7 linked regions of the Oryzias latipes genome follow. The protein of the gene in region 3 purifies or fractionates together with the protein of the main gene of each other region. This does not show direct contact. Links are inferred from orthologs where the notes say so. Each region holds a gene or a part of one and is shown on either strand. Other genes may lie near its edges. The genes, in order: xrcc1, supt16h, sox2, hnrnpa3, myef2, ssb and ilf2.

Region 1 (4,440 bases), on a different chromosome or scaffold from region 3:
AGTAATGACCAGAAATTTAATAAAAACCAAGTATAGCACTGGTGGCCAGTTTATAGAGACCAAGGTCGGTGTTATGTGGTCAAACTTCTTTGCCCCACTGATAAATCTGGCTGCTTGGTTTTGGACCAGCTGCAGCCTGGCTATTGATGTCCTGGATAACCCGGCATACAAAGAGCTGCAATAATTTAGTCTGGACAACACAGAGGCATGGGTGACAATTTCAAGGCTCGTTTTCGATGTAAAAGATTGAATCCAAGCCAAACGTTGCATCTGACAAAAGCAGGACCTGGTCACAGTGTTTACTTGGAGGTCAAGCTTCAAGGCTGCATCGAGTTTCATGACCACAGACTGTTCAAAAGGGGCACTAGAGAGGAGATCAAGACGGTGATCTTTAAATTACACGACAGAAAATACTTCCTATTTAATCATTGGCTAAATTAAGTAATGGTTTCTTTTTTTAAGAAGAATCTGAGCCAACAGATCTTGGCATTTCTAATAAAGACAAGTGAAATCCCGTTTGTTAGTTGGGTCGACACGCTTCTTTTCAAGGTTTTTTTGTTTCTGTCTGGAGAATTTATGGAAAATAGTGTCACTATTTATGTTTCAGATCAAAGAGCACATATTAAAGCCAAGTTGACTTTAAAATGCCTTATTTTATCAGTTGTCTTGAAAAAAGTAAAACGTTTTGTAACCATTTTGCACCTATATAGAGAGAAGGAGAGAGAGAGAGAGAACTCCCTGATAGAACTCCCATCAACAGATTTTAAAATAATTTTGTGGATCAATTCAGTTTTTATCATCTCTGTCTATTTAGGTATAAGTACTGTATAAGTACTACGAAAAACCTTTCAGTAAATCCAATAGTAATTATTAAAGACCCTATTTTAATCGAGTTCCCAGTGGGTTTTTTATTATGATTTTGACGTTTTCAGCCAAAAATCCCATCTTCCTCTTGAGGCTCAGACACTGCAAAGATGTTTAATAACTTGAGCAACTTTAGATCCCTGGATGGGTGAGTCAACCCCCCCATTCAGCCCCAATTAGACCACTGAAGTCTGCAATCCCCACCTCCTAATGGCGAGGACAATCTTAAAAAAAAGTCCTTGATGACTTACTTGAGTGGCTCAAAGTTAGTTACTTTTGAGACATCTGTGCTTTTAATTTCTAAAACTTCAAACGTAAAAGTACTTTAAAAAATACACATGTGGCCACACCTCACTTCTGATTTACACCCAGATAAAATCCTTCTTTTTTTAAGATAATGGCGACTAACAAGTCTGATGGTAAAATATCTCTAAAACCCACTTCATGCAATATAAATATACATGAGATGTCCCAAAAGATTCCATCTTTGTAGGTGAGCTTTCTTGGTCATTTTCTCCTCTAAAACCTCTGGCTCAATGGCTAATGACTGTGTGTGAAGCATAGCGGGGGTGCTCATTAATGCATACGGCGAGTCGCCAGCACGCGCATCAGGGGCTCAGACGCCGCACATTTACCTCCAGATGCTCAGCGACAGCAGAGTGCCCCGTGAAGCAACAGTTTGAGGGTGAGCGCGTCGATTTGTTTGGCACTTACCATCATCAAAGTAAGTGGTGCTTTTAATTACCCATAGCAGATGCAGGCTTTAAATAAAGGATACATCATCAAAGCTGTACACTCCACAGGCGGCACAATAGGGGTGCTGGGCAGGGGAATGGATTATTCTTACAACAAGAGAAATGGGGGGTGGGGGGGAGAACTGCAGCCATATTTCTCCACTGCTGTCAGAAAATGATGAGAAAGGCGAGCACAAGGGAGAAGGAAAGCCCAGGTTCCACTCAACTTATTTTAACTCGTTTTTGAGAATTTTAAAGGAACTGAGTCCAAAGCCCAAAGCGTTATTTATTTATAACCCTCCGCTCCCTCTTTGAAGGCCCTCTTGCATGGATCATGGGGAAAACTCCTCATCATTACACCGGCTGCCCCGGCCACAAGAGACTCCCACAATCACGTGACACGAGAACTGGTGCAAAGAACGTGATCTGAAGCCTAATTCAAATACAAACCTGAAAATGATTCCATGTTTTGTTTGTCAAATCATTCTGTCATCAATAGATTCAAAAAGAAATTCACACCAGAACATCCAAAGCCCATCGTTAGTAAAGATAGATAGATAAATCCATTAATTATACAACTACCGGTACTCTACCAATGAAATTATCATTGATGTTCCATAAAACCACAACAAACAAAAACATACAATACTGGAAAATAAAAACTTTCCTCTTTAGTATCAGATTATATTTTATTGATTAGGGGTGCAACCGATTACAAAACTCCCAGTTTGAAAGTTTTTCTTTTGTCAAGAGTATAGAGCAAAAGGATTTTGACTCACAAGTTCTCCATTTCTAAATCCCAGTTCTTAATGAGACAAGAAATTCTCGACTGTGCAGATTTTGAGAAAAGCTTGTAGAGCAAAGATAAGTTAAAACAACTTCAGGATAAAATGTCCAAAAGCAAGATTTTAAATCTTTACAAATATCAAATAGCTTGGAGTGTTGATCTGTCTTTAGTGTTACAGCTGATTTCCAAAGACATATTCTCCCCAAAGCCAGACAGAAAGTTCAAAACGTTAAGAGGCTGAGCAAATAAAGGATTTGGAATTTCATCCATCGCTTTATTTGGTTTGTGGGAGAGTTGACATGATTCCATGTGTTTAGCATTGATGTCTGCAGCAAAGCAGTTTCGGAAAATGATTGCAACCCCCCCCCACCCCCCACCCCCTCTACACTCTACAGCCAGCTGTCAGGATTGAAAGGCCTGCTGTGACCCAAAGCACATCACAGAAGGTTTTTGTCCGGACCTCAACAAACTGTGTCAGCTTGTGAATAAGGGGCATAATATATTTCTATTAAAGTCAACCTTGGAGAAACTGGGAGGAGCAAAGCGTGACAGAACAGCCTGATATTACAGCAAAGGCTTATATTGGAAAATACAGGTCCAGGCCAATGAATTCCTCTTCTTTAAAGAGATGAACCTTTATACCTACATTATTCAGTACACAACGATTTCTTCTTTTTTGAGAAGTGCTGACAGAAGACCTTGATGCTGCAAAAGCTCTCCCTGTAATGAGGCATAAAATTAGAGAGCTGCTGGATCTCAGTGGGCTGACTGTGATCACAGCGGGGCTCATCTGCTCAAGGTTACCACGTTCTCTGCAAAAAGTGGGAAGCCCTGCTGCGGGAGACTGTGTGATCCAGAGCCACCGACATGGCTTAAACACAAGTATTAATCAGATATGCATTTGCAGAATAGGCAAAACACATGTTCCAGGCTAAAGCCAAGCGCTCGCCGTGCTCCGGCGCCCTTTTAAAACTGACGCAATGTCCCATCCAGCTGTTCGTCTGGCTGGGTCCACAAACCGGGCCTCTATAAGAGCAGTTTCACTTGAAAGAACAGAACCATGTTCTCACCGCTTAAAGGAGATCTTCTGTTTCCTCTTGTGGCAATCCAACACCCACTCCTTCCGCACGATGATGCCCCCCGCCGATTTCACCTGGCTGTATTTGGGGGTGTTGGCGAAGGCGCAGCTGAGGATTAATGGGGCAACGGGACAGATGTGCACAAAGAAAACACGGTTACATCACTACCGACGAGCCCACAAGGTCGTTCCATCACTCTGGCAGCTTGAAGGAGGCCATCAGACGGAATTTATGTAAAAACTGACACAGATGTTTCGCAATCGCACAATCTGTTTCAGTGATAAAAAAGACAAATGAGGTGAAGGACATCTAAAAAAAATAATAAAAAAGCAACACTAGAAAAGGACTTCTGCATTTTAAAGATAAGATTTCCTGTTTTTTATGACTTGCTGGGGTCATCATGGTCACCCCGCTCTAACACTTGCAACTATTATTCAGAAATATTTAGAGGTCATTGAAATAAGTGAATAAATATCAGCCATAGAACTGGAGGAAGTAAAAAAAAAAGCTTCCTGTTTTTCATAAATAAAGGTGTATTTTGCTTATCTTCATCATATGTTCATATCTTGAAGTGCTGCAGATTATCCAGGAGTCTGTTCTTGGTTTATCTCTTTACCCTGTCCTTGTAAAACCACGTCTCTGCGCCGCCCCTTTCTCCTCAGTCAATTCATGAGTAATGCCTGTTTAATGTGGCAGTACTATAGTTGATGTAAAAATGCAGTTTAACTTAAACCTAAATAGTCAGATGAGCAAATAACACTTCATGGCTGCAGGAAAGCAGCAAACTAATAAACTGCATGAGGTGGATTCCTCATTAGGGAGCTAATGGCCCATTAAATGTAACGTTTGTTGTGTAAAATGAGGATTTTGTCTTGCTTTAGTGCTTATTTCGCTCACAGTGATAGTTCCAAACCCAAGTGTCTGTTGATGTTGATGAAAAACGTAACATTGAGCAAACCGATTTCCCTTTTTTAAC
Region 2 (4,965 bases), on a different chromosome or scaffold from region 3:
GCTTTCATTCTGAAAGGCGAAAGGTCAAAGCTGGTGAACAAATCTTTGCTTCAAAGTCTGACAGCTCTACATGAAAAACTCCCCGACTCACCTTCTCTCTAGTGAGCAAAGTGATGGGCGGGGCTCCATTGGCGTTCTCGTTGCCTTTGGTTACAGCCACCTGTTTGAGGAAGTCCACCTTCTTCTTGCTGGCCAGGAAGATGATTTTGGTGTCACAAAACACCATGATGGTGTCCGTGAGCTCGTAGCCAAACAGCCAAGTCTGAGGGCCAAAAGCATGCCGGTCAGCTGAAAATACGGCGGCCCGTCTCTGGCCTCCCCTCAGACCCTGGAAGCTCACCTGTATGGCGGTGGATTTGGCGTACACGATCTCCTCATCGACCCCCACAGAAACTACGATGGCATCAATTTTACCAAACTCATCCTCTCCTTTCTAGAATGTACACAAAGACACACATTCATTGGAATTACGGTCAGGCTAAGCCAAAAAAAAAAAAAAAAAAAAAAAAAAGACTTTTTTCCCACTAAATGTGATTTCCAATGTTAACTGTCTTTTTTTTTTTTTCCTCCTTTCTCAGTATACTTTTTTACAAAAATGACAAACTACATCTAAAAAAAACTATCACTTTAACATCTCCTTTGAGAGTTCACCTGCTTCAGGTGTAAAAAACTAATTCGCTGTTGTTCTACCTTTGTTAGCAACAGTTTTCACACATTTTTTGCATCATGCAATTTGTTGCTCCAAGTCTGAAGTCACAAAATTGAACGAGTTCCATTTAACTGTCTTTTTCAGAGTAGAAGTCACAGTGAACTAGCACTCAGGAGAGACTTGTGTGATTTTTTTTTAACATGAACAGGCTCATATGTGTTATTTTCCCACCAACAACCAGTTGCTCTTCAGCGGTTGTTGCTGCTAGAAGGCACTGTAAGTGTATGCATCGGTATTTGTGACTGACAGCAACAGAGATGAATGAAGCAGCGTCTTTAAGAACAAAAAATGGAGGAGAATCTGATCGTCGTCTTCCTGAGCTTTGTGATATTTTTCTTACTTGCATCTAGACATTATTATTGTTTTTCATTTTTCCTTCCTCCGACTAATGCGGGACAGCAAGTCATCAAACTGGGTTACAGAGACGAGGAAGTACAGCTGAAAGCGCCATCATTCACACGCAGTGGAAAAAAAAGATTGCTAGACATTTTTTTTTTTAAAGGACTGAAAGGTCTTATGAACCCAGCCATGGAGATGTGTTTACTGAAGCTTTTGTAGAACTCTTCAAAATATCTCTTGTCGTTTCATTTCATTGTGAAAGAGTTATCCGGTCAATGCTTCTATGTAGCGATGAGGCTAAAAACTTGACAGTAGCTTCTACCACACGTGAAAGCGCCTCCAGCCGATGAACACATTTTTGGACAAGCATTGAGCATCTGCTTTGGCAGCAAACACAGATGTGACGCATGAATCGGGTTTGGTGTGAATGCAGTATTACGCCGGGGTTGGCAGAGTTGTTCTACAAACATATTCCGGAGCGATTTATATGTGGGGGGGTTTCCCCCCTTCTTTTCTATGCATTTTTTTTTTGCTGATGCGACTTGTGCTCCGGAAAAACGTATAGTCGGATAAATAAATAACTGGGGAAAAAACAGATCTGCTATTTTCATGTCTGCGCATAGCGAGAAATGGGCAGGCTGACCTTACTCTGAACAACAGAAGTCCAAGAGAGCTGTGAAAATAAAATCCAGATTTATCAATATACACACAACAAATTCAAATGTATCGATGAGATTGATTAAATAACCCAGCCCTCCACTCAGGTTTGGTGTGCATTCACCTTCTACTCCTCCTTTTTCAGGGATCTGACTAGACTAAGAGGCGTTATAACCTCAGCTCGGAACTTTCTGCCCTGAAATAAATGCATCTTTAGGTTCCCTGGATGATTCATAAAAGTACTACTGTGTTAATTAAAAACACAAACTTGGAAATGTGTTATGCATTCTTTAACATTTTAATCATGAACAATGGCTTTTGGAATCTCTCAGTCTTTAATGAGGCAAATAAAACACTTTCAGCTGCCCTCCATTGGAGTTCTGCTCCTTTACAAGGTTGGGTCAACAAAAAACTTTATTGAAATGAACACACTCTAAGGCATGATTAGACATTAGAGGAAAGCCATTCATGCAAGTTTGTGGCTTCCTCCCACAGTTTAGACACACGACTGGCCTAAATCAGAGTTTGGGTCTTGTGGTTCTGGGACTGATTGTGGGGGGGGGGGGGGGGGGGGGGTGCTGTGCTTGTCTTTGCAAGGGGCCACAGAGACCCTGATCAGGATGAAGCAGGGGTTGATGATGAATGGAAGACAATCTAATCCTGAGTTTGTGAAACAAATAGATCTAGGGGTTTGGTTGTGATGTTTGACCTTAAACTCCTCACAGCACAAGGGGCTTCTATCAGTAACTTAGTAACCTGTTACTCTACCCGAACCATAACCTAAAGTTTTCAGGTGAAAAAAGGCAGCATATATGAAGCTGAAACTTTGGTCTGGGATAAAAGTTCATCTGTAAGAATTGAGTTTCCAAACCCGCACATGCCGCAGAAACGAGTCCCATGCTGGCGCCGCGCGCTTCACATGGAGCCGGGATGCTGATGCTGTGATGCTAATTGTTAGCATCCTAGATTAGCATGTAGCGCTGGGACAAAGTGCAAACCGGCAGCAGCTGAACTTTAGCTTCAACTCACTCAGCCCTGTGATCGGTAGAACTTTATCGGAACCATTTCATTGAAATGTGTGTGTCCATTTCGATGAAGAGCGGCCATAAGCCGTCGTACTCCGTTAGCTGGTTGGTGAAGTTAACAAGTTAGCAGACTAGCTAACCCACTGACTGAATGAGAGGACCGCAGTGCTAACATGAGGCAGTCGCATGCGGGACCGAGGATCCCTGCGGGTATCTTACCAATGTGTCCTAAAAGATTCGCAAAACAAACACCGACCCGTAACTGCACGGTCTGGAGAACATCAGCGTTCGCACCCTCAACGCTCCGCTGGGTCCGGTGTGAACCCGCGGCTAACTCTCTCTGGGCTCCCACAGCGGCTTCATCATGTCTTCTGCTCAAAAATTACCTCTAACCGGGTTCTGCAGCACACCGACCCGCTCCGGGCCGAGCGCGGCTCACCTTCCAGTTGCTGTATAGCCTTTTGATGCGGCGGTAGTACGCTTCCTTGTCCAGGTTAACCGCCATGGCGAGCGCTCTGCTGCGAACTCCAGCTCCCGGCTTGGCCTCCCCAGCAGGCCGGATGAGGATGATGATGATGGTGAGCTAACAACAACGCACTTTCCTTCCACGCCTGCCGAGGTCCGAACGGCACTGACTGCAGATGCGCTCGGCTTTATAAGAACCGCAACCTTCTAGCTACGCGCTCATGCAAGAACCAGCGACGGGTTAAGAAAATGATCAAAATTACTCAAATTCAAACTGTTCATCTACCACTGTTTTCATACACCAATCAGTTATAATTAGACGCTCACCCCTCCCTCTCTACAGTCCGAGCCTTTTCCCTCCCCCTCTGTGCATATTCATCATTGAGATCAGTATACTTATCCACTAAATCTCCATGGTAACCATTGAATAAAAGTGTAAAGTAAGCCTAACAGAATTCAAAATAAAACTGCCATTTTTATTTTACTTCAACGCGTTTAATACATTTATTTTATTCATAATGACGTATTTTGTTGTAAACCGCAGTGTCGCCACAGCGCCCCCTGCCGTGTGTTGACTATCAATCTTTCCCGCCACGAAGGACCTTTCCCGCCACCATCTTCGAAAGGTTCTGCTGACGTAAATCTCGCGATACCACGTCCACTTGGCAGCCTCCAAGATTTGCGGGGGAAATTCAACAAGTTTTTTTTATTGAATCATTGTAAAATGTTAAAATCAAGACGTCTCCATCTTCAGAAAAACACTATCATGTCATGTTGAAACAACAGTAAAGGAACACATAGAGCACATCAAAACTCTGAACTCTTACATGAAATCAATTAAATGAAAAAATAAAATAAATAAAACAAAAGTTGTGAGGGGTTTAATCTAAGAGTTTAAACAATTGTAGCATATAGTAGCATATTGGATTTTTTTTCTTCTCCTTGCGGTGTTGGTATCTTGGTTATAACTTATATAACCGATTTATATGGGGTTTCATCTTAAAGAGTTTGCAGTTGTGGAAAAATTATTTTGTGGTTCAAATCAATCCTTTGATCATGAAGTCTTAATTTTTATTACTCAAGTACATTTTATTTCTAACAGAATTTCAATTTAAACAGTCTATTGTAATATTTTCACCTGTCAACCAATTATGAAAAAAAAAGTTTTTTTTAAAAAAAGCCTTGCAAAAAATAGACAAGGGTGAAAATCTAAATGCTGTTGAAGTTAATTTTTTTTTAATAAAGGTTAATAAATTAACATTAAAGCTTAGAATCAAACCATTGACTGTAAATGAGAACTGGATCAAGTGAGTGTGATATCACCCATAGAACATGACTTGCTTCTGTTTCCAATGAATTAAGGCTCATTCGGCTGCTAATTTTTTGATATACGGCTGTCGTGATGTTGGAACCAGACAATCGGTAAGCAGCGATTGGTCAAGTTGGCCTAAGTTTACATTTCTATGCTGACCCATACAGTCAATGAATCAAACTAAATTGGTTCTTGATCTGCAATCATGAGGTCAAAATGTATATTACAACATAAAATATTTTATTTCATGATTAAAAACATTTCCATGATATGTACAATAAATCAGACCAATAACTGCATCAATAAGTCTCATTGGGAAGTTTTATTTTTTCAAAGCATTTAGTCTCTGTTGGACTACTTTCACAGCCAAACGCGATTGATGTTTGCAAAGAAAACAACTGTTTTTCCCTCATGGTAAGTAGTGTTGTCAGAGCTGACCTCTTTTAATTTAAATTTAC
Region 3 (3,733 bases):
CACATATGAATAACAGAAACCAAATCAAAACTCATACAATTTCAAGTATCCAAATTTCCAAAATTTATTCATTTCAAACTGCATATTGAAAAAAAATATACTCAGCTGAAATTGTAACTGTTATAAGGATGGTATTAGTTCTCGTAATATATACATGGAGTGGTTGGCTTCTGCGTACAGGCCACAAGTTTTCAAAATACAACTACGGGAATGAAAATTTTCAAATTAAAATATCACAGTAAATATACAGAAATTTTACAAATCAATTAGAAAATAATGAGCACAAGCGTCATACCGCTAACAGCTGAAAAGTGGGAGACGGAAATATAAATTAACAATCTAAAATTGATATTGTATGACAAAAAAAGAAGTGTCTTACATTTTTAATGAAATAAAAAATGTTTAGTAATATAGACCTTAAATGAAAAAAAAAAATACCTGCATCTTTTGTCCCTTTTTATTCCAATGTTTTAATTGGAAGCATAACTGATCACTTCCATTACTCTTGTTCTGCTATTTTTCACTTTTAATGTTCTCTGCAGAACCAGCTTTATATATATATATATATATAATAATTAAAAAAGGAAAATAAAAATGCAACCTCTTGCAGATTAACAAACAATTTCATCTGATTGTAATGTTTCTTTGATAAATACTGTACAAAAGGTGATTGCAATAATAAAACATTTGATTGCGACTCCCACTTTCTAGTCTTCCAAACTTCATCCAACAGTGAAGAGGGGATCTACCGTTCCTCTATGCTTCCTTAGGATAAAAGGAAAGAAAAAAAAGTCCCTTTTTTTCTTGAAGATTTCTATACAACTTTTTCTCACCCATTTTTTTTCTGTACAAAAATAGTCCAACATTAAGTAGTCCACAGTAGCTTTTATAAAAGTCTGCTTTTGCCCCCCTCCTGCGCTCTGTCCCTTACATGTGTGTTAACGGCAGCGTGCCGTTGATCGTCGTCCCGGGCACGGTGCTCTGGTAGTGGCCGGACATGTGTAGCCTGGTCTGGGCAGTCTGCTCGCTGACCTCCGCCCCGGGCAGGTACATGCTGATCATGTCCCTCAGATCACCGCTTTGGCAGCCCGGGGCGGCCCGGTGAGACGAGGAGGTGACGACGGGCGGGCTGGAGCTGCTGGACTCGGACTTCACCACCGAGGAGGGCCCCATGGAGCCCAGGGCGGTCATACCCGGCGTGGTTTGCTGGGAGTAGGACATGGAGTACGTCGGGGAGCCGTTCATGTAGCTCTGGGAGCTGGTCATGGAGTTGTACTGCAGGGCGCTCATGTCGTAGCGGTGCATGGGCTGCATCTGGCTCGGGTTGTGCGCGTTCAGACCTGCGTGCTGGTAGCTCAGCTGGTCCTGCATCATGCCATAGCCCCCGTTGGTCCAGCCGTTCATGTGCGCCGCGTAACTGTCCATCCGCTGGTTAACCCCACCGCCCAGGCCGGCCCCTACCCCGACACCGACCCCGGTCCCCATACCGTTTCCTCCAGGAGCCAGCAACCCGCCCGGTAAGGTGTATTTGTCCTTCTTCATGAGGGTCTTGGTTTTCCGCCGGGGCCGGTATTTGTAATCCGGGTGCTCCTTCATGTGCAGGGCCCTCAGCCTCTTAGCCTCGTCGATGAAAGGTCTCTTCTCGCTCTCTGACAGAAGTTTCCACTCTGCGCCCAGCCTCTTGCTTATCTCCGAGTTGTGCATTTTGGGGTTTTCTTGCGCCATCTTCCTCCTCTGGCCTCGGGACCACACCATGAAGGCGTTCATGGGTCTTTTGACTCTCTCCGGGCTGTTTTTCTGGTTGGTGCCGGTGCCGGACGTGTTTGTGTTCCCCGTGCCCCCCGTGTTGGTCTGGGGAGCAGGGGGCTTCAGTTCAGTCTCCATCATGTTATACATCAGGGAAAATTTTAACTTTTCGCTGGGAGCTCCCGAGCAGAAAAAAAAGACAAGAAAAAAAAGAAAAAAGAAAAAAAAGGAGCTTCTCTCCAGAAGCTGAGCGCAGACAGAGGAGCGCACGAGCGCTTTCAGTTACCTGCCGATTTTCTATGCAACTTTTCTCTGGACAAAAACAACGAGCATCAAGCCGCGCGTCTCCGCACACTCTCCCCCTCTCACTCCCACTCAGCGTGTCACACCGTGTGTGTGTGAGTGTGTGTGACAGAGAGCCTTCTCCCAACACGTCCCGGCAATGTTGTGTCCACAAAACTTCTCCCGCGGCTGCTCGCAAAAAGCATCAACAAACTGTACTTTTTCGCCTCAGTCCGCCTGAGCCTTGACAACTCCAGATAGTTTTTGAACAAGTTAATAGACAACCATTCATGTGAAGGGGCTGTCAGTGAATAAATGGCTTCGGCCTGACCAATCAGAGCGAGCCCCGCGCGCCAATGGGAGAGCGTGTGGTCGGAAAAGGGCGGAGTCTGGAGCGCAGCGAGGCACAGGCGTACACTCCGGCTCCTGCTGCCCATATCAGACAATACTAAGTACATATTTACTATTTCATCTTGCTTGTGGGAATTTCTATGTTTGATAGCGCTTTGTGAATACGTTACACCTTTTAGGTGGAAGTTTATACGACGCAGAGATGCAGCATTTTCAAAATCAGAAATTACTTTTTTGTAACTTTTAAAAGCTCAAAATGTAAAAAGTTAATAAGTACAAGTAAAAAAAAAAGACTACTTTTTGAATACGTTTTTAAAATTAAATTAGACATATTGAAGCAACATGACACTATTTCTTTTAAAAAAGAACAGATTTATTTTTATTCTAAATTGTTTTTTAGATGAAATATGAGGCATATCCAGACCAAATGAAAAAGCCACTTAATCAACCCTACTTAATGGCCCAATAACATAACACGCAAAGAAACTTTGTGAGTTAACTCACTGAAAGCTCTGAACAGCAGAGCTGTGGGGTGAATGTGTGCGTAAAAGAAGGTGGAGAGGGGGGGGGTGTCCACGGCTCGTTTTTTAGCCTTGAAAAGAGAAAAGGTAATCCAAGATGTTTCCCCCAGTCCTTTTGTTTAGGTGAAGTTGAATGCCAACACACACAGAAGGCAGACGGCCTCATCTTAGCACAAATAAGCGCGTTTTGTTTGGGATGTTGTCGCTACATCTGTCCGGACAAAGACCCCAACTCCACTTCCACTTCCACAGTGCCAGCGCTGCAGTTACGCATGGGTCTTTGTGGCGTGGTACGCGCACCGGAGACACGAGACAGGGACCGAATGAAAGGTGAGGAATATTTTAAGATGAAAGTGTGTTCGCACAAAAGATCTACACATTCATAGGAGTTCCAACAAGTGTGTCAGCCAATTAGTGGGAATCAAAACGCGGCCTTCACCTGCGCTTCAATTAGTCCTGGATCAAGAAACGGCCAGACTGGGATTATTGTGAGGTGAAGTTGGAATCAAACGCAGTGCGAAATCAAACCACATACTCGCGTGGCTCAAACAGACAGAAAACAAGTGAAGTTTTATGAGGCTGAAAGTGTTTGTGCCACTTGTTTAGAGTTCCATCCAGAAACGCCGCAAAGCGTGCTGCTGCGTGACACCAGTGCCGCCTAGTGGACAGAAGGAGAACAGCAAACAACCGCATTTTCAGGCCTTTTTTCAAGGAGAGCAGCAACAAATACATTATAGAGTTTTAAAGGTGCATTTTAATACACAACTTAGATACAGCCTTAAACTATTTTCTGACACCGGCTCGTTTAAAATCCGCCAAAGTTCACAGACGTT
Region 4 (4,237 bases), on a different chromosome or scaffold from region 3:
CAACTTCCATAACTGTGAAGTCAGAAAAGCTCTGTCAAAACAGGAAATGAATACTATATCCAGTAACCGAGGTAATTATGTCGAAAATTGACGGTTTCTGTGGTTGGTTGGCAGCTAACAGTTTGTTGAGGAAAACAATACATTTTTAATTGTATCGATCTTTATCTCAGGCAGGAGTGGAGGATCAGGAAACTTCATGGGTAGAGGAGGTGGGAACTTTGGAGGCAGTGGAAACTTTGGACGAGGTACGCCACATTTTTGCTCTAATAGAGAAGACATTTTACAAAATAATAATCTGTGCTAAATGTTGCAACTTGGTTACAAAAATGCATTCAAGTGAAGTGGAAACGAAACATAATCTTAATATAATCTTTTTTGGTTAGGTGGTTATGGTGGAGGACGTGGTGGCTATGCGGATGACTTTGACAATGGTGAGTTACACCAAACTGATTTGTGATCATTTTTCCCTAAAAATGTGTCCCCAGCAGCGCATCAAAATGGTGGAAGCTCCACCTATAAGAATACACTGGTTTAATTGTTATCAATAGGTCCAGGAGGAAACTATGGCGGGGGGCCGGGCTACAGAGGAGGTGGAGGCGGCGGCTATGGGGGAGGTGGTCCAGGATATGGCAACCAGGGTGGAGGATTTGGTGGCAACTGTGACGGAGGTTATGGAGGCAATAGTGGAGGTAAATATGCTCTTATTTCCAAGTCATGAACATATGAAACTTGATATGTTTTGTTTGTTTATAATAAATGTTTGCATTGGATTTTTAGGTTATGGAGGTGGTGGAAATTACAATGACTTTGGAAATTATGGGGGGCAGCAGTCGAACTATGGGCCCATGAAAGGAGGTAACTTTGGTGGCAGGAACTCTGGTGGACCCTATAGTGGTGAGAAGCTCCAATATTTTTGGTATTGTCTTCAATGACAACAACTGACACAATTTCCTGAGATGCAAATAAAATAGGACTTTTTATAATAAGGATCCACACTTCACTTTAAAAAGTGCTTCAGTTTAACTGTGTGCTGCAACAAATAAAGCATGATTTAAAGTAGCATAAACTAACATTGGGGAGCAGGATAATTACACTGAGCTGGTTCAATCCTCTGACTAATGATAGATTTTTTGAGTTAATAACATATGTGGCTCCTTAAAATACATATTTGCCTAGTCTGCGGTTACATGTGCAAAATGTCTTTGATCGGATCAAAGATCAGGTTAGAATTGAACTGTGTACATAGTCCCAGAAAAACTTTATCCGATTATCACACTGTTTACATACACCATACTTTTGATCCTCTAAAATACCAGAACGCAGTAGAAGAAGAAATAGCGAGTTCTGTTGTAAACAAACAAAGCTACAGCATAGAGCGAGATGATCTTCAAAGTGTGCTTTTGTTATTGTTATGATTACTATTAAGTGCTTTCTAAATTCATGTGACCAGTGCTGTATTCTTGGCTGCACGAACCCGGAAGAAGAGTTAGGATTAATCTATTATCTGCCTACAGCATTTGGCCGTGCATGAACTTAAAATCCATGCGGGCAATGCCGCAATGTGTATATGTGGCAATGACATCAGCCTTTACTTTGTCTGGACATGATTGGAAAAACAAATCCATGCGATTATTTGCTCGTTTCTCAGGACTGCTCGGAGCGGCATTTCTGCTTTAAAAAGCTGCTTCCGCCAGCTGACACACCTTCTGAAAGCCGCTCCTCTGCTCGGAGACACGTATCTCCTGAGTCCAGCAGCTCGCTCATGCAGAGCAGCCGGACGGACTACAAAGCTTTCTCCGGAGCGCACACCGTAACAAAGCACCCTCCCCTACCCGCACAAACCTACGAGTCCGGCTGCTCTGCGTAGAGACATGGTTTGCTCCCGCGGAGCAGCCGGCCGGTCCTGTTAGCGCTCCAAAGCCTCTGGAGCGCCACACCATCTACGCATGACAGAAAAGCCAGCAGTAGTGACCCACAATCGGAATAAATTGTTTACATGCACCACGATTGAATCAACAATCGGCACAACCCTCCTATCTCGATCGGAAGGAAATATTGATCCGAATGAGGCTGATCGGTGCAGAGTATTCCGAACGGCGTGTTTACATGACACATTCTTATTCTGATCAGGCATTTATTCCGATTACTTTTGTCCATGTAACTGCAGCTACTGACAGTTTTATTTCTATGTACCCCTTTGATATAATTTGTCTCAGCAGTGTAGTTTCCCCTGAGGGAATAATAAAGATATTTTTCACTCCAAATTGCAGGTGGTTATGGCTCTGGGAGTGGCGGTGGCGGCGGCGGCGGTGGTTATGGCTCACGGCGGTATTAATTCTTGGTTGTTTTGGTAAGTAGCGTTCAGTCTGGCAGCAGCCTCGAAGCACAGTTCAGAGTGAGCCCATGAAAGTGCAGATTAACTATTTGTCTTATCCTGTATCCATTCAACAGGCTTCAGTTCTTAGCAGGAGAGGCGAGGAGGTGAGCAAAGGAGTTGTCAGGAAAGCTGCAGGTTACTTTGAGGCAGTCATCTGAAAGCAGTAGAGGAACACAGAAGTCAGACATTACTGCAGCTTATCCAAGAAGTGTATGGAAGGAGGACTGTATGAACAAGACATGAGTGCAGACGATGTCCTTTCCTATTTCTCCTAGATGTGAACCTAATGAGGAAGTTTTCCTTTCTGTGTCTGAATTGTGTGTATTGTGCCTATTGGATCAGGGGTAAATTTTCTTTCTTTTCTTTCTTTTTTTAAGTCCTACATATTTTTGTTTAAATTTTTTATATTGGTTAGTTTTATCATAATGACCAGTTAAACATACATTTTTGATCTTAGCAACTGTCAGATAGCATAGTTATAAAAGGCCCTTCAAAAGCCAGAAGTAGTTGTTTCTTCCCTCCTAATTTATTATTTCCGAATTGCAAGTGTCAAGTGTGTATTGATTTGTATGTAAAAGCACAGTGTGTAACTTTTTCATAGTGTCAGTGTCAACAGAAATAAACAGCTTAGATTAGAACTAAGGGAATCCCGCACTTCTCATTTCTTCCATTGAAACAGATTCCAGATTGTTCCCGTATTTTTGGTTAGTGAAAGAAACGACTGAATAAAGTTGTTTAGTAAAGTAACACAAGATTCAGTGCATCATTGGTTCGGAAAAAAAGCATGCATGCTCATTGTGACTGTGGTTAGCATATCAGCCTTTTCTGACTTGTCCCAAATTTGGGATTGTTATGAAAAACATGATGGTGTCTGTTCATATGTGCAATATTCTGTGCTTTCACGGATACCGTCGCCATTTTAAAAGGGAGGTTTGAATAGTTCCAGGGAAGGGCCCCGAGTGCAGCTTTGCCAGTGTTGAGAAGGTAGGAGTATGAGAACCACAAGCTCCTGCAGTTTGGCCCTCAGCGTCGCTAGTGTGGAGGATGACAATCAGACAGGACGACTTCAGCCCCAGCACAGTGGACCAGTCAGCATTTTGAGAGAGAAGGGAGAAGGCAGCATCGAGCGCAACGGCCATGGAAGGAAGTTTGCAGTGTCATGCCTGGTAGTGAGCATCTGTCTTTTTCCAAGGCTAGCTAAACTCCAGCAGCTGGTTCTCGCCAAGAAAGACTAGGTCCTGGACTCACTGAAGATCCTGTTTAGTGAGATACAGCAGTTTAACCTGCAAATACTAGATGTCAGACATTGAACAAGAAAAGGGAGCCAATATTTCACAAAAGCTGACTTGAGAAGATGGATCAGGTAAGAGTAACCACTTTGCTTGATTTACAGATGTGGATTTGGGCATTCTCTTCTTGCCGAAAATCTGTAAAGACCTGATAACTTGGAAAGTTCTGGATGGGTAAGACTTTTTTTTTTTTTTTTTGTAAATATTTTTCAAGGTTGAATGTTGATTATGTACTGTGTGGTAAGGCGTACAGGGAAATAGACTTAAGGTGAGAATGGGAGGGTTCTTAAGTCGTCATTCAGGTTCTTTGAATGACCAAATTTTCAATTTCAATTTTCAAAGGTGATTTAGAAACATTCTGTACAAAGGTAACTGACCAAGAAGATATGAATCTAAAAACCTGGACATAAATATATATTTAGCTGACACTAAACATGCAGGTCTGAGAAGATGAGACTGTCTTCAGCCATGGAGACACCGGGCGTGTGACGTGTGTTCAAAAGTGCGCCCATGGTGTTCACACTGGATAAGCAGGGAGGGGCTTCTTCTTTTCCTACTGTTTACTAACTCA
Region 5 (4,098 bases), on a different chromosome or scaffold from region 3:
CCAGCTGGGATTTGAACCAGGGCAGTTCTAACCACTACATGACAATACATCTCCATCAAATTGTATTCTTTAAAATACTTCTTGCTGCAAATATTTTTGTATTTTTCCAAGTTCTTTCAGCGTCACAAAAGAATAAAATAATGCAGCAAAGAACAAAAAATGTTAGAATTTCTTTTGTGAATCTACAATTATCCTATTCAAGACTGCTTCCGGAGCACTTAGGACTCCTTTTGATATTTCGATATATCACACATCTAAATAACATTTGTGACATGTGTCCAGTACCTAGTCCAGCTCCCATGTGGCCCATGCCACCACCGCCCATGCCGCCACTGAAACCTCCACCTAAAGCAGAGAAAGCAGGTTACTACAGATACTATGGAATTTTACAACAGTTTTACAGCATCTAAACCAACAATAAAGAGCAGAACAGCACATAAAGCAACAAGTAATTTTTATTTCTGAAAAGCAAATACACAGAGATGTGTAAACCTCTGTATGTGTATTTTAAGTGCAAATAAAACATACTCATCCCTCCAAAGGAATCTGCAAATCCTCGATTCATCGGCATGTCGTTGTGGCCAAAGTCTCGATCCATCCCACCCATTCCCTGTCGGTACATATCTTAAAAAAAAAAAAGTCTAATTATAAATAAATTCTCTGAAAACATAAATAATGTTGATAATTGTTAATATCTGTGATAATGTTTTTGAGCTACAAATATATGGATCTCTTACCTCCCATTCTGCCAGATGGTGCCATGTCTCGGCCTCCAAAGCCACCCATGTTGTTCATGTTATCCATGCCTCCAAAGCCGCCTCCACCTCCTGTCAAACCCAGTGTCAAGGTGAACTATGACTCCTAAACATTTGTGTCTTACAGGAAATGAAAAGATAGCTGAAAACCTCACCTCCGCTGAGTCTGTTCATCCCACCATAACCAGAAGCATCCATACCTGGATTACAGAAAGCACCAATGAGAAAGCAGCACAATATGTTGGTTACTTTTTAATGAATTTTAATTCACAGGACAGCATTTCAGCCAAGTCTCATGTATGAAGCAAAACCAGCTAAAAACATTACACTTAAGTTTATGTTTCAGGACCATATTGAACCCATTTCTGTTAGGTTCAGACCCACTGGCAACTATTCACACCTCCCGGCTTATGCATTTGCCATCATGGCATGTTTTTAAAACTGTGTTGTAATGGATTTGAGGGGTTTTTCATTAATACAGTAAATCAAAAAAAGAATGACCTCCAGGTCCCATAGACCCCATCCCTCCACCTCCACTCAGACGGTTTGCATTTATGGGCTGGCCTCCTGGCCCGAGACCCATGCCAATACCACCCAGACCCCCTGCAGGGCAAAGATAGAAGACAGACACATCCACTTTTAACTATAATAGATAGAGTGAATAACTTTTAGTGATCACAGTGATAGATTTTTTTTAACCCAAAGTCATAATAACTTTCAAACTCAAACTTTTTCTATAAAAGGAATTTTTGATTATGCTTTAATGCAAAAAGCAAAATCTTCCCATCTATTCAACAGATAAGAAAACAAAGATTTAAAAGAAAAGATTTAACATCACCGTCAACACAGAAAATGTCCTACAAACACATTAAAATACTTCAATTATTCCAGCAGGGGGGCAAAACTCTGAAAACATTGCTATAATGTGTTCATGGAAGTTCATACAAGTATATGCAGCTTAATAAGTGTACCCACGTGGTAACTGCGGGGCTTTCTCAATGGGAGGGAAATCATCAGGAGGGAGAGACTTTTCATCCTGGAACAATGAGATCAAATGATATCTGGGCTTGTTTTTACTGCTTTACGCATTTCAAAAAGAAAACAAAAAAACTAACCATTTTAACATGCATCTGCCTGTCGAAGAGCATCTGTCCATTAAACATAGCTGAGAGCAGAGTCAAGGAAACTAACATCAAGGAATGTTTTCTTTTGGAAGAAATATGTTTTTTTAAGGATACAAATAGCCTGCACAGCTTCTAGTGGCTGATCAAAGGTCACGGTTCCCATCCCACGACTCTTGCCATCTTTATCCTCCTTCACATCTGCTCGTTTCACCACACCTGCCATGCCAAACACCTCCTTTAACTTCTTCCAGCCCACCTTGAAATCCAACTGCAGATGAACAAAAATAAGTAAAATTTGTTGGAGAGAAAAAAGGATTGATTGCTTAATTTAAAAAAGAAAAAAGAACAAACTACAACAACAAAGAAAGAGAGAGGCTTGTCCTCACATTAGCAACAAACACTGTGTTGCCAAGTCTTCCAGCCTGCAGACCATGGATAACCTCAGGTGGGATATTAGGGTTGTTTGCAATGGAAGGAGGGAGGTTCATCCCTCCAGGTCCCATATCCTGTCCACGACCTCCCTGTCCACCTCCTATGCGCTGTAACGCACGCCGAGCATGCTCCCCGTCAGGGTCCTGAAACAAAACAAGTAAAAATTGAACACATTCAATATTATCGAGGAACAAACTTAAGATTAAATCTTCCAAATACTCTGTAGTCTATTGCAATTAGAATTGTTGCCAAGAAATCCTTAGGCATGTGACTGACAAGTATAAAATACCTTAAAAGGGAAACTGTCCAACATTCAACAGCACACAGAGTAAACTCTTTTTGAAAGATGGAAACCTGCTAGTAGTTTCATTCTTAACATTAGTTAAAAATTCCTCCTGTGCAGTTGAGCCACAGACTGTGGATACTGATCTATTTTTGAACATCACTTTCAACTAGACAATATTGTAGAGACACTTGAAAGCAGAAGATAGAGTGAAGAATCAATACACATTTATAGCTAGTTACAAGCATTTTTGGTGCACCAGTAAATATTTCAATATCTTCAGATTCCATGAAGTCTAAACTTCTAAATTCATTTTTGTTTTATTATTAATCAAACATAAGACGTCTCTGCCAAATGTTTTAACAACATTGCAATTATTATCATAACATAAACTACAAGAAAAAAAAAAAAAAACATTCAACAACTTAAAAGCAACTGCAAAACCACCACTGTGTCTATTTTCTAAAACTTTTAAAGTTTACACGCTGCTTATTTTTGAATATTTGCATAACTGAGTTAAGCATATGACATCATGCATTACCTGCTAAAACAAAATAAGTAAAATATCAAAAAGAAGAAGCTAAACCTTGTTGTAATTATTTCATATATTAAGCCAAACAGCAGATAGCAAAGATTAGCTTCAAAAAAGGTTTTGTAATATTTAGCTAGAATCTCATTCTCACCTCTTTTATGTTGAGTGGTCTTCCATTCAGGTCATGCTTGTTCATTGTCAAGACTGCTTTCTTCACAAACTCATCATCTTTGAACTCCACAACACTGTTGATTGAGACAACAGGAACAAAATGAGCAAATGAAAGCCACAAAACCAAAGTTTGCTTTCAAATCAGAATAATATTGCTGTGTCTTACCCACAACCCTGATCGCAGGACATGGCAGTTGAGGCGGCACACAAGGAACAAATAAAAATATGTTTAACATTAAGACATGAGAAACCATGACAACATTTGAATTGTAATGTGTTAAACATGCTTCTTCTATTTCTTGGGTGCATTTTGGCCATTATCACTAGCTTAAGCCAGCTAGCTTTTAATTAAATTGTTCAATTTTAATTGTATTAATTTTAATCAAATTAAAAGATAAAAAGCTATTTTCTAAAATAATTTAAGACAAATGTTTACCTAGAATACATTTTTTTAAAACACCAAGTTATGCATTGGAAATTAACTTATTATTTTTCTTTCTTTTTTTAATGGCAAGAAAAACATGCCACCATTTTACTGAGTACATTGTTCAGTTTTAACCAATTTAGTCAAAAGGGAAAGGAAAAACGGTGGTTCACATTTAAATAGATACAAGAAACTTAAGCAGTTTAATGTGAAACATAATGAAAAAACACTAGAAGATCTTTCAAGACTGTTTTGATATTGAAAAAAACTCTGTTTCAAATATTTTTGAAACATGAGGGTCAATCAATCAGATAAATCACACACCCCACATTTCCATTTGGAAAATGGCCAAACAAACAAACGTTTAGGTCAATTGA
Region 6 (3,709 bases), on a different chromosome or scaffold from region 3:
TGAATTTCTAATAAACTATTGTCGCTCTGCAGAAACTTTGTTCTAGAAAACGACAGTTTTACCGAAAAAAACGTAGTAATTTCAGCCAAGCATTTTTGGTGCAGAAATGGAAAAAAACTATGCATTTAAATAATGTGCATTATTCACACATATGTCAAGTATTTGTATAAACTCGGGGCAGCTTACCATTTCTGTTTCTTCAGCATTTTTTTGTTGTTGCTCCCTTTCCCTAAAGAAAAAAAAAAGTATTAAATGAGATTCAGTTTTCAAAATAAAAGCTACCAATAAGTATATAAAGCAGGCGTTCCTACTGTCTGGCTTTAGCTTTGGTCTCCACTTTGAACTGTTTTTTCTCTTTTGCCTTCATTTCGTGGTAGGCTTCCCTGCAAGAAACATGTTAAAATAGTTTCAATATTTGGAAAAGCCACAAATGTAACAACCATCACCAAAGAACTAAGTCGAACATGAGTGAGGGATTGAATGGATTTCCAGCTAAATCACAAAACTGTTAAATCCTCCAATTCTTTACTGTAAAGATCTACTCTCATATTGGACTGATGTCGGCTGCTTTCTACTTGAATTTAGTTTTTTTTTTTTCATTTTTATGAGCGGTAGTGTCAAATGGCTGTTTGTGTTTGGCAACAGAGCGCTGTGCCTGTATAATAGTCATGGAAGAATTCTGCTAAAAAGTCAAACTTTATGAGGTTTGAACACACATGGCTTATGCATCCCACACCACTTTGTAACAGGATTTTCAGTGTATTATCCGACTATATGATCACCTAACTCACATAAATCTGATTGCACATTAAAAAAAATACAAACCCTAAATGTATTGGACAAGGTGGTGAAAACCAGCTTTTATCAATGATTGGTGAGGGACGGATCCACTAAAGAATCTTCAAACTTAATCGTTTTCTAACCTGGTTTAAATCAACTCAACGGTGTTCTTTGATTTCTGCATCACTCCTTTCACAAAAGTAAAAAGTAGAGGCTGTGTGGCTTGATTTATAGTTTAACTTTGGATTTTTAAAAGTTTCCCCTTTTGCAAAAGATAAAATGGCAGATTTTATTGACAGATTGTTCTTAAACACTGAAAGGCAACAAACCTACCTCGACAGCACAAGCATGTCATTGTCTTTGAATGATTTGATGTCTGATCGCTCCAAAAACTGTTTAGCCGATTCTTCACTGCCAAAGCATACGAACACAGACCCCTGGAATGACAGAGAACTCATAAGTAACCTCGCATTTGATACTAATTTGATATAATTATTTAAAAGGTAACGATGAGTGATTCACAGCAGATTTACCTTGAACTTCCTCTGCAGGGTTCTCCTCATTTGAACGTTTTCCACGTCTCCTTTGTCATTCAGCCACTCCTGGATCTCATCCAGAGTTGTTTCAAGAGGAAAACCTTTCTATAAAGGGGGACAAAAAAAGATTTAGAAATAAGTTTCAAAAAGTGTGACTACAAATACAAAAGCTGTGAACATGTAGAGTAAATATACAGCCTGGTTGGTAATGACTTTAACTGTATCACGATCCCATAATTTCTTACATCACTGCTATGATTTCTCAATGGTTGTCTTATTTCTGTTCATAATATAAAGACCTTTTGTAGTCTGGATTTAAATACATTTCTAAAGATGCACACTGGGTTTATCTAGAAGGAGGAATGTCAATACAGTTTAAGAACTCACAATGTACACAGATCTGTGTTTTACTGCGTCTTTGTATTCATCGTTCACTTCTGGTAAAGGTTTGTCCGGTGATCTCCTGACTTTAGTCTTGTCTTCGCTAATTTCCAAGAGGCCGGTCTTTGATTTCTGCAGAGCGGAGATGATGACGCTGTTCTCTGTGGTCAAAGACTTCAGTCTAAAAAACAGAAACACACCAGTTTCAACAAAACCATTGACGAAGAAAAGAAAACAACATGACTCTATGGGATTTCTATAAAGAAAAGGAAAAAAAACACTCAAAATCTTTTCTTTTTACAGCTGAATTGTTTCAGAGAATACATGAGTTGGTAAAAGTAAACACAGCAAATATAAACTTCATACAGCTAATGTGAGTCTTCTGTGAGTCAATCCATCAACATTCCCTTTGTTTGTGGAATCGGTGCATTTCAGCTGTGTTTAGATGATCTGGGTGACACTTGGAGTTATGTCTTTTGCTGAAGCAACACTAAATGCCCTTTAATCTTCTTCCACAATAAAATGTAAAGAAAAAAAAAACCATCCAATGAAATCAAATGTTGTAGATAAAACATTTAACCTCTTTAATAAAATGGGTTAAAACAGAAAAATGCCATCCGAAAAGCAGCATAAACATCTGAACTGGAGTTATTCATTTACATGCAACACAACTGTTTTCAATGTTAACCATCCTAGAAATTGCTCTGTCTCCAAGTCTATTCTGCTGAATGAGGCAAGTGATGAGAAATAGTTCTTTTGCTTCTAGTTCTCCACAGTCCTGAGGAGCAGCAGTAAAGGCAGCAGAACTTTACAGGTTCAAGGTGAAGGACTGCTGCCTCCTTCCCTGCAGATCTGCATCTGTGAGCTGACCTTTTAACCTATAAACTAAAAAGACAAAGGTCATGCACATCAGTTGTTAAGGCTGGGATCGAATGATGAGCCAGCCTGCTCTCAGATTATACGATTTAAACGGAATGTAACCTGATTGTGTAAATGCAATCGTCTGGTCAGATAACATGAACTGTGATATGTTCAAAAACAATCATCTAGAAAAAAAAAAAAATCCTAGAAATGGATGCAATCACAGTTCTGACTGAAGAGGGCGCCAAAGAGCCCAACAATGTAAAGTTCCTTTATTTCCGTTTACACAGATTTTAGGACAGAGTTGGTAAAGGACCAAAAAAACGTAAAAAAGGAAATGTTTACTTGGAGTTGGATGCTATTAAAAAAAATAAAACCACCTGTTGAATTTCAGCATGGTCTCCAGGGTAACCCAGCCATCATCCAGCTGCAACTGCTCCTTCAGGAACCGATCTCTCGGAAGGTTGTGATCTCCAAAATAATACTTGGTAAGAACAGAAAACTGATTTAAATATAGAAATGCATACACTTCCTGAGAGTACATTTGAAATCTCAATTACCTCCAATTGTCTCGCCACTTTCATCTCAACTGGAGACATTTCTTCTTGGTTTTCAGCCATAATTGTTCTGTAGAAAGCAAAAAATTAAGATGCCAGTGGATTCAAAATGTTTGATCAAAGATGCTCTCACTATATTACGTAGATTTAAATTCTTTTACTGCTCCATCTTATCCCCATGGGGGGGGGGGGGGGGGGGGAACTTGTTTTATTCCAATAATATTAAAGCTCATTCATTAGATTTTATTAAAAAAAAAGAAAAAAACATTTTTACTATAGTATACAACATTCTAAAGTTCCTGTGATATTCTTCTCAAATGAATGAATTAATATTAAAGCTTTTCCAGAAAATCTAATATTTGATTTCTTCACATTTAATAAAAACAAGAAATTCTGGTGTTATTTTTGGTGTTGGAGCTCAATACCATTGATAATAGGGTAACCATGGCGAAACATCCACCTCTACCTACTCCTATCCTCTTCATCCTCCACCAAAACCAACCCCTCTCATGTCCTTGAAATAATATTGTTTTTTTTTTTATTAAAAGATTTTATGCTGAGAAAATAATCTCTTTAGTTAGTTGCAGACATAGA
Region 7 (3,578 bases), on a different chromosome or scaffold from region 3:
AGTTAAAGCATCAACGTGATTTACAAGTTTACCCTAAAAATTGCTTCTGAAAATTTATTAAAGCTATTGTAAGATTTGCAGGAACTTTTTTTAAAGCATAAAAAATAATTTAAGTCCTACATCAATCATCTTTTGATCTATTGTAAAATCGTTCCCAGTGGTCTTTTAATTATGGTTATAGAATTTTTAGCCAAAATTCTAAAAACCTGCTGTTTTCTAGGACATTTTCTGCAGAGCGGCAATAGTTCATCTGAAACTCGCCTCTAACTTGTGGGTGGGGCGCGGAAGTAAACCTCCGCTTATTTCCTATCGTCACTTTTGTCCACACGCTATCCTGCTAGCTTACAGATGCTCAATACCCCAACCCTGTGCTGATTTGTGTTGTTCTTTTCTGTTAACTGTGTTTAACTGTGGGTGACTAAAACTGTTGTTTTTCTGCGTGTGCTCCTCCTATCAGTTCTGTCCATGCTGACCAATGAAACCGGATTTGAAATAAGCTCGGCTGATGCTACAGTTAAGATTCTCATCACCACCGTTCCACCCAACCTGCGCAAACTGGATCCAGAGTTACATCGTAAGAGAGCGCACACCCGCACAGCACTTTTATAGGAATGAGGCAGGCTTGTGAAATAATTGATCAATGTTGTTTGAAGAATGTGGTCTGAGCAATCATCTACTTCTTGTTGACTTTAAAGTTTGACAAATGATTCTTTGTTGATGAAAATCTATTGTTTTAATTCTTTAAATTTTTGATTTCTTCGGCTCTTATAGTGAACCAATTATTTAGCAGATTGGTGTTTCTGTCTGAGTGAAAAGTTCATAACTTATAGTGTTGATATTTTACAATAAATCGGTGTAGACTTACAGTTTGGACCTCTCCCAACATCTGTCAAATAAACATCTGTGGGTTCAGAAACTTGAGTGGAGCTGTCAATGTATCCATAATTCTGGTGGAGGTTTGATGTTCTGGAGGCTCTACACATTCACTTTACCACCACAAAAATGCTCGTTTTTTTTCTTTCTAGTGGACATCCGAGTGCTGCAGAGTGCTCTGGCTGCCATCCGCCACGCCCGCTGGTTTGAGGAGAACGCTTCTCAGTCGACGTGAGCGCCCCGCTCGTCTCTCTTTGTGTTTCTTGACGTGTGATGAGTATCTGTGAACTGTTGCACGTTGATGATCTTCAGGGTCAAAGTTCTGATTCGCCTCCTGAAAGATCTCCGACTGCGCTTCCCTGGATTTGAACCCCTCACCCCCTGGATTATTGACCTGCTGGTAAATCACACTGAAAAATACACAAGCACAAGAATCACGTGTTAAGAGGATGCAGGAACTGACATTTAGTTTTTCCATAACGCATTTTTTTTTTCAATTAAGCATAAACAATATTGCACATTTGTTGTGTGTGTGTACAAACATTTTGAAACCATTTCTTTAGTGAAACTGTAGTAAGCCCTGCTAATCTCAGTCTATGGTTCGTTGAAGGGCCACTCCGCAGTGATGAACAATCCTTCCAGGCAGCCTTTGTCCCTGAACGTGGCCTACAGGTTGGTGTTATCTCTTGACGGCTGTGATTTCTTTAAAATGAGCGACGACACAAGTCACCCTTTCCTTTTCTGCCTCCCTAAAGGCGCTGCCTGCAGATGCTGGCTGCCGGGCTTTTCCTGCCTGGCTCTGTGGGCATCACAGATCCTTGTGAAAGTGGGAACTTTAGAGTTCACACAGTGATGACTTTGGAGCAGCAGGTAAACCCGGTTGGCTTTACTGCTTCATTGTGAGCATGAAGAGGTGTCTTTGTTGTAGTTTTGTTCTGTTTTGCTATAGTTAATGTGGAAAAATGTGGAAAATACGCAGTCAAGATAAAAGGAAAGCCAACAAAATGTCTGTCGCGTGGATTGATCCAATATTTCTCTTTTTTTGTGTTTGCAGGACATGGTTTGTTTCACAGCTCAGACACTGGTCAGGGTGCTCTCCCATGGAGGATACAGGAAGATTCTTGGCCTTGACGGAGACGCCAGCTGTAAGATTTTTTTTTATCTTTGAGGGATTAATGAAAAAAGTCTTGTACTTTAATTCAAGGTGTCCCTAAATTAGTTACTTTCAAACATGACTCTGTCGCCAGTTCCAATGGATTTGGCACAGGGGCCACAAATGACGAGCTAAAGCTCCAGCTAAGCCTGATTGAATGTTCCTCCCCACTAGCTGCAGCATCTGACACCTTGGCTTCAAAACAAAGGACCATTAGCCTATCAGGGAACACCACCACAGTAACCCCACCTCCTCTTCTATCATCCTCATGTTATTTACAAAAGTCCAGGGCAGCAGATTGCTAAAAAATTGACCGTTGCAGCATTTTATGGAAGCGTTTTTTGTCTCATAATTAGAAATAAGTCAATACCCGAAATGCTTTTTCATTTTCACAATGAAGCTGCCTTTGTTGACTCGAAAGAAAAAATAAATCCGCCTATAGGCTTTTACTTTTTCTTTTTCAACACTGCTCATTCTGTAAGGAAGCAAACAAGGAAGTAAATAAATCATTAAAGTAAAAGTATTTTCAGTTTACTGGAATAAGTTCTGAAAAACAGATTTTGTTTTGAATAAAGCCAAGAATTTGAATAGAAAAGCATAATGAATATGACATTGCAAAGATGCCATGATCAATTATGTGGCATCATATGACTGTCTGCTAGCATGGCGGAGAATCATCACACGTCCACAAAAGAGCCCTAATTTTGTTGCACTCTCTAGGGCAGTGTTTTTCAACCAGTGTGCCGCGGCACACTAGTGTGCTGTTGGAGATGGTCAGGTGTGCCGTGGGAAACTGCCCTCATTAACTGATCCAAAATCATTTACCATCTCCAGGATATCAGCTCTGTGTTCATCCAAAAAGGTCCTGATAAAACACTGAGTAGTTAGGAATATGAAAGATCGTAAAATTACTTTTTCTTTGTGTTTATTTAATTCTATTAAAGACATTTTGATAAGAATGACGGTACCGCGATTTACCTGCTATAACAGTTTACGGAAAAGTCCCGCCCCTTTAACTGTCTCCGCCAATCATTCTTGAAGGCTTAATCACATGTCATCCGTCTGACCAATCAGAAGTGGTTAAAGTCTTCACTTCCTTGTCCCGATGTAGCTCATAAAGTCGCTCAGTTCTAACAAAAATACCAGCTAAAGCTCATCTTTAGCGGTGTAGCTTTCCACAGAATCCGGTGTCAGACCGTGGAAAAAGTGAACAAAACCATGAAGCTCAGAGACATCTCCCATGATGCATTGGGTTGACAATTGTGACAATTGACAATGTCTCAGTGTACAATGAATCTTCCTTTGACGGCTTGAAACCACAACGAACACACATAAAACAGTTTTTAAATCTTTTACTTAACTTTTATTACATCTTTTACAAAAAACAGCTGCAGGTTCCAGCTTTTTCTGCCACAATTATCACAAAAATACATGCAATATTGCAGAGGGGCTGTAGATCAATACAGACTATGAGTTTCTCCTTTTTTTTTAATGTTTGGATGCTGGTGTGCAGCGGAATTTTTGTCAAGGTCAAAGTTTGCCGTAGCTCAAA

Evidence for each region.
Region 1: the proteins of sox2 (region 3) and xrcc1 purify together in Homo sapiens (affinity purification with mass spectrometry; 3 studies listed by BioGRID and IntAct, with this or other methods). This does not show direct contact. The link is inferred for Oryzias latipes from reciprocal best matches to the Homo sapiens genes SOX2 and XRCC1.
Region 2: the proteins of sox2 (region 3) and supt16h purify together in Homo sapiens (affinity purification with mass spectrometry; 3 studies listed by BioGRID and IntAct, with this or other methods). This does not show direct contact. The link is inferred for Oryzias latipes from reciprocal best matches to the Homo sapiens genes SOX2 and SUPT16H.
Region 4: the proteins of sox2 (region 3) and hnrnpa3 purify together in Homo sapiens (affinity purification with mass spectrometry; 3 studies listed by BioGRID and IntAct, with this or other methods). This does not show direct contact. The link is inferred for Oryzias latipes from reciprocal best matches to the Homo sapiens genes SOX2 and HNRNPA3.
Region 5: the proteins of sox2 (region 3) and myef2 purify together in Homo sapiens (affinity purification with mass spectrometry; 3 studies listed by BioGRID and IntAct, with this or other methods). This does not show direct contact. The link is inferred for Oryzias latipes from reciprocal best matches to the Homo sapiens genes SOX2 and MYEF2.
Region 6: the proteins of sox2 (region 3) and ssb purify together in Homo sapiens (affinity purification with mass spectrometry; 3 studies listed by BioGRID and IntAct, with this or other methods). This does not show direct contact. The link is inferred for Oryzias latipes from reciprocal best matches to the Homo sapiens genes SOX2 and SSB.
Region 7: the proteins of sox2 (region 3) and ilf2 purify together in Homo sapiens (affinity purification with mass spectrometry; 3 studies listed by BioGRID and IntAct, with this or other methods). This does not show direct contact. The link is inferred for Oryzias latipes from reciprocal best matches to the Homo sapiens genes SOX2 and ILF2.

Annotation. Positions count from the first base shown.
Region 1 is NC_019874.2:25,083,090-25,087,529, reverse strand, and holds part of xrcc1 (DNA repair protein XRCC1), read right to left. Parts: intron 3,573-4,440; coding exon 3,456-3,572; intron 1-3,455. UniProt on the Homo sapiens protein: Scaffold protein involved in DNA single-strand break repair by mediating the assembly of DNA break repair protein complexes. Negatively regulates ADP-ribosyltransferase activity of PARP1 during base-excision repair in order to prevent excessive PARP1 activity.
Region 2 is NC_019876.2:21,325,884-21,330,848, forward strand, and holds the start of supt16h (FACT complex subunit SPT16), read right to left. Parts: upstream 3,530-4,965; 5' UTR 3,236-3,529; coding exon 3,170-3,235; intron 434-3,169; coding exon 341-433; intron 263-340; coding exon 92-262; intron 10-91; coding exon 1-9. UniProt on the Homo sapiens protein: Component of the FACT complex, a general chromatin factor that acts to reorganize nucleosomes. The FACT complex is involved in multiple processes that require DNA as a template such as mRNA elongation, DNA replication and DNA repair.
Region 3 is NC_019862.2:18,600,604-18,604,336, forward strand, and holds sox2 (transcription factor SOX-2), read right to left. Parts: upstream 1,897-3,733; coding exon 928-1,896; downstream 1-927. UniProt on the Homo sapiens protein: Transcription factor that forms a trimeric complex with OCT4 on DNA and controls the expression of a number of genes involved in embryonic development such as YES1, FGF4, UTF1 and ZFP206. Binds to the proximal enhancer region of NANOG.
Region 4 is NC_019879.2:22,672,010-22,676,246, forward strand, and holds part of hnrnpa3 (heterogeneous nuclear ribonucleoprotein A3), read left to right. Parts: coding exon 1-71; intron 72-170; coding exon 171-245; intron 246-383; coding exon 384-431; intron 432-548; coding exon 549-689; intron 690-777; coding exon 778-894; intron 895-2,270; coding exon 2,271-2,335; 3' UTR 2,336-2,350; intron 2,351-2,451; exon of another isoform or gene 2,452-3,770; 3' UTR 3,771-4,237. UniProt on the Homo sapiens protein: Plays a role in cytoplasmic trafficking of RNA. Binds to the cis-acting response element, A2RE. May be involved in pre-mRNA splicing.
Region 5 is NC_019861.2:13,063,234-13,067,331, reverse strand, and holds part of myef2 (myelin expression factor 2), read right to left. Parts: intron 3,472-4,098; coding exon 3,464-3,471; intron 3,372-3,463; coding exon 3,278-3,371; intron 2,455-3,277; coding exon 2,266-2,454; intron 2,148-2,265; coding exon 1,994-2,147; intron 1,921-1,993; coding exon 1,871-1,920; intron 1,792-1,870; coding exon 1,731-1,791; intron 1,359-1,730; coding exon 1,257-1,358; intron 956-1,256; coding exon 911-955; intron 828-910; coding exon 738-827; intron 625-737; coding exon 529-624; intron 346-528; coding exon 286-345; intron 1-285. UniProt on the Homo sapiens protein: Transcriptional repressor of the myelin basic protein gene (MBP). Binds to the proximal MB1 element 5'-TTGTCC-3' of the MBP promoter. Its binding to MB1 and function are inhibited by PURA.
Region 6 is NC_019879.2:21,749,300-21,753,008, reverse strand, and holds part of ssb (lupus La protein), read right to left. Parts: intron 3,186-3,709; 5' UTR 3,179-3,185; coding exon 3,119-3,178; intron 3,043-3,118; coding exon 2,939-3,042; intron 1,879-2,938; coding exon 1,704-1,878; intron 1,422-1,703; coding exon 1,314-1,421; intron 1,218-1,313; coding exon 1,114-1,217; intron 384-1,113; coding exon 312-383; intron 230-311; coding exon 187-229; intron 1-186. UniProt on the Homo sapiens protein: Binds to the 3' poly(U) terminus of nascent RNA polymerase III transcripts, protecting them from exonuclease digestion and facilitating their folding and maturation.
Region 7 is NC_019869.2:21,694,243-21,697,820, reverse strand, and holds part of ilf2 (interleukin enhancer-binding factor 2), read left to right. Parts: intron 1-457; coding exon 458-574; intron 575-1,025; coding exon 1,026-1,104; intron 1,105-1,185; coding exon 1,186-1,273; intron 1,274-1,483; coding exon 1,484-1,545; intron 1,546-1,628; coding exon 1,629-1,743; intron 1,744-1,927; coding exon 1,928-2,018; intron 2,019-3,578. UniProt on the Homo sapiens protein: Chromatin-interacting protein that forms a stable heterodimer with interleukin enhancer-binding factor 3/ILF3 and plays a role in several biological processes including transcription, innate immunity or cell growth.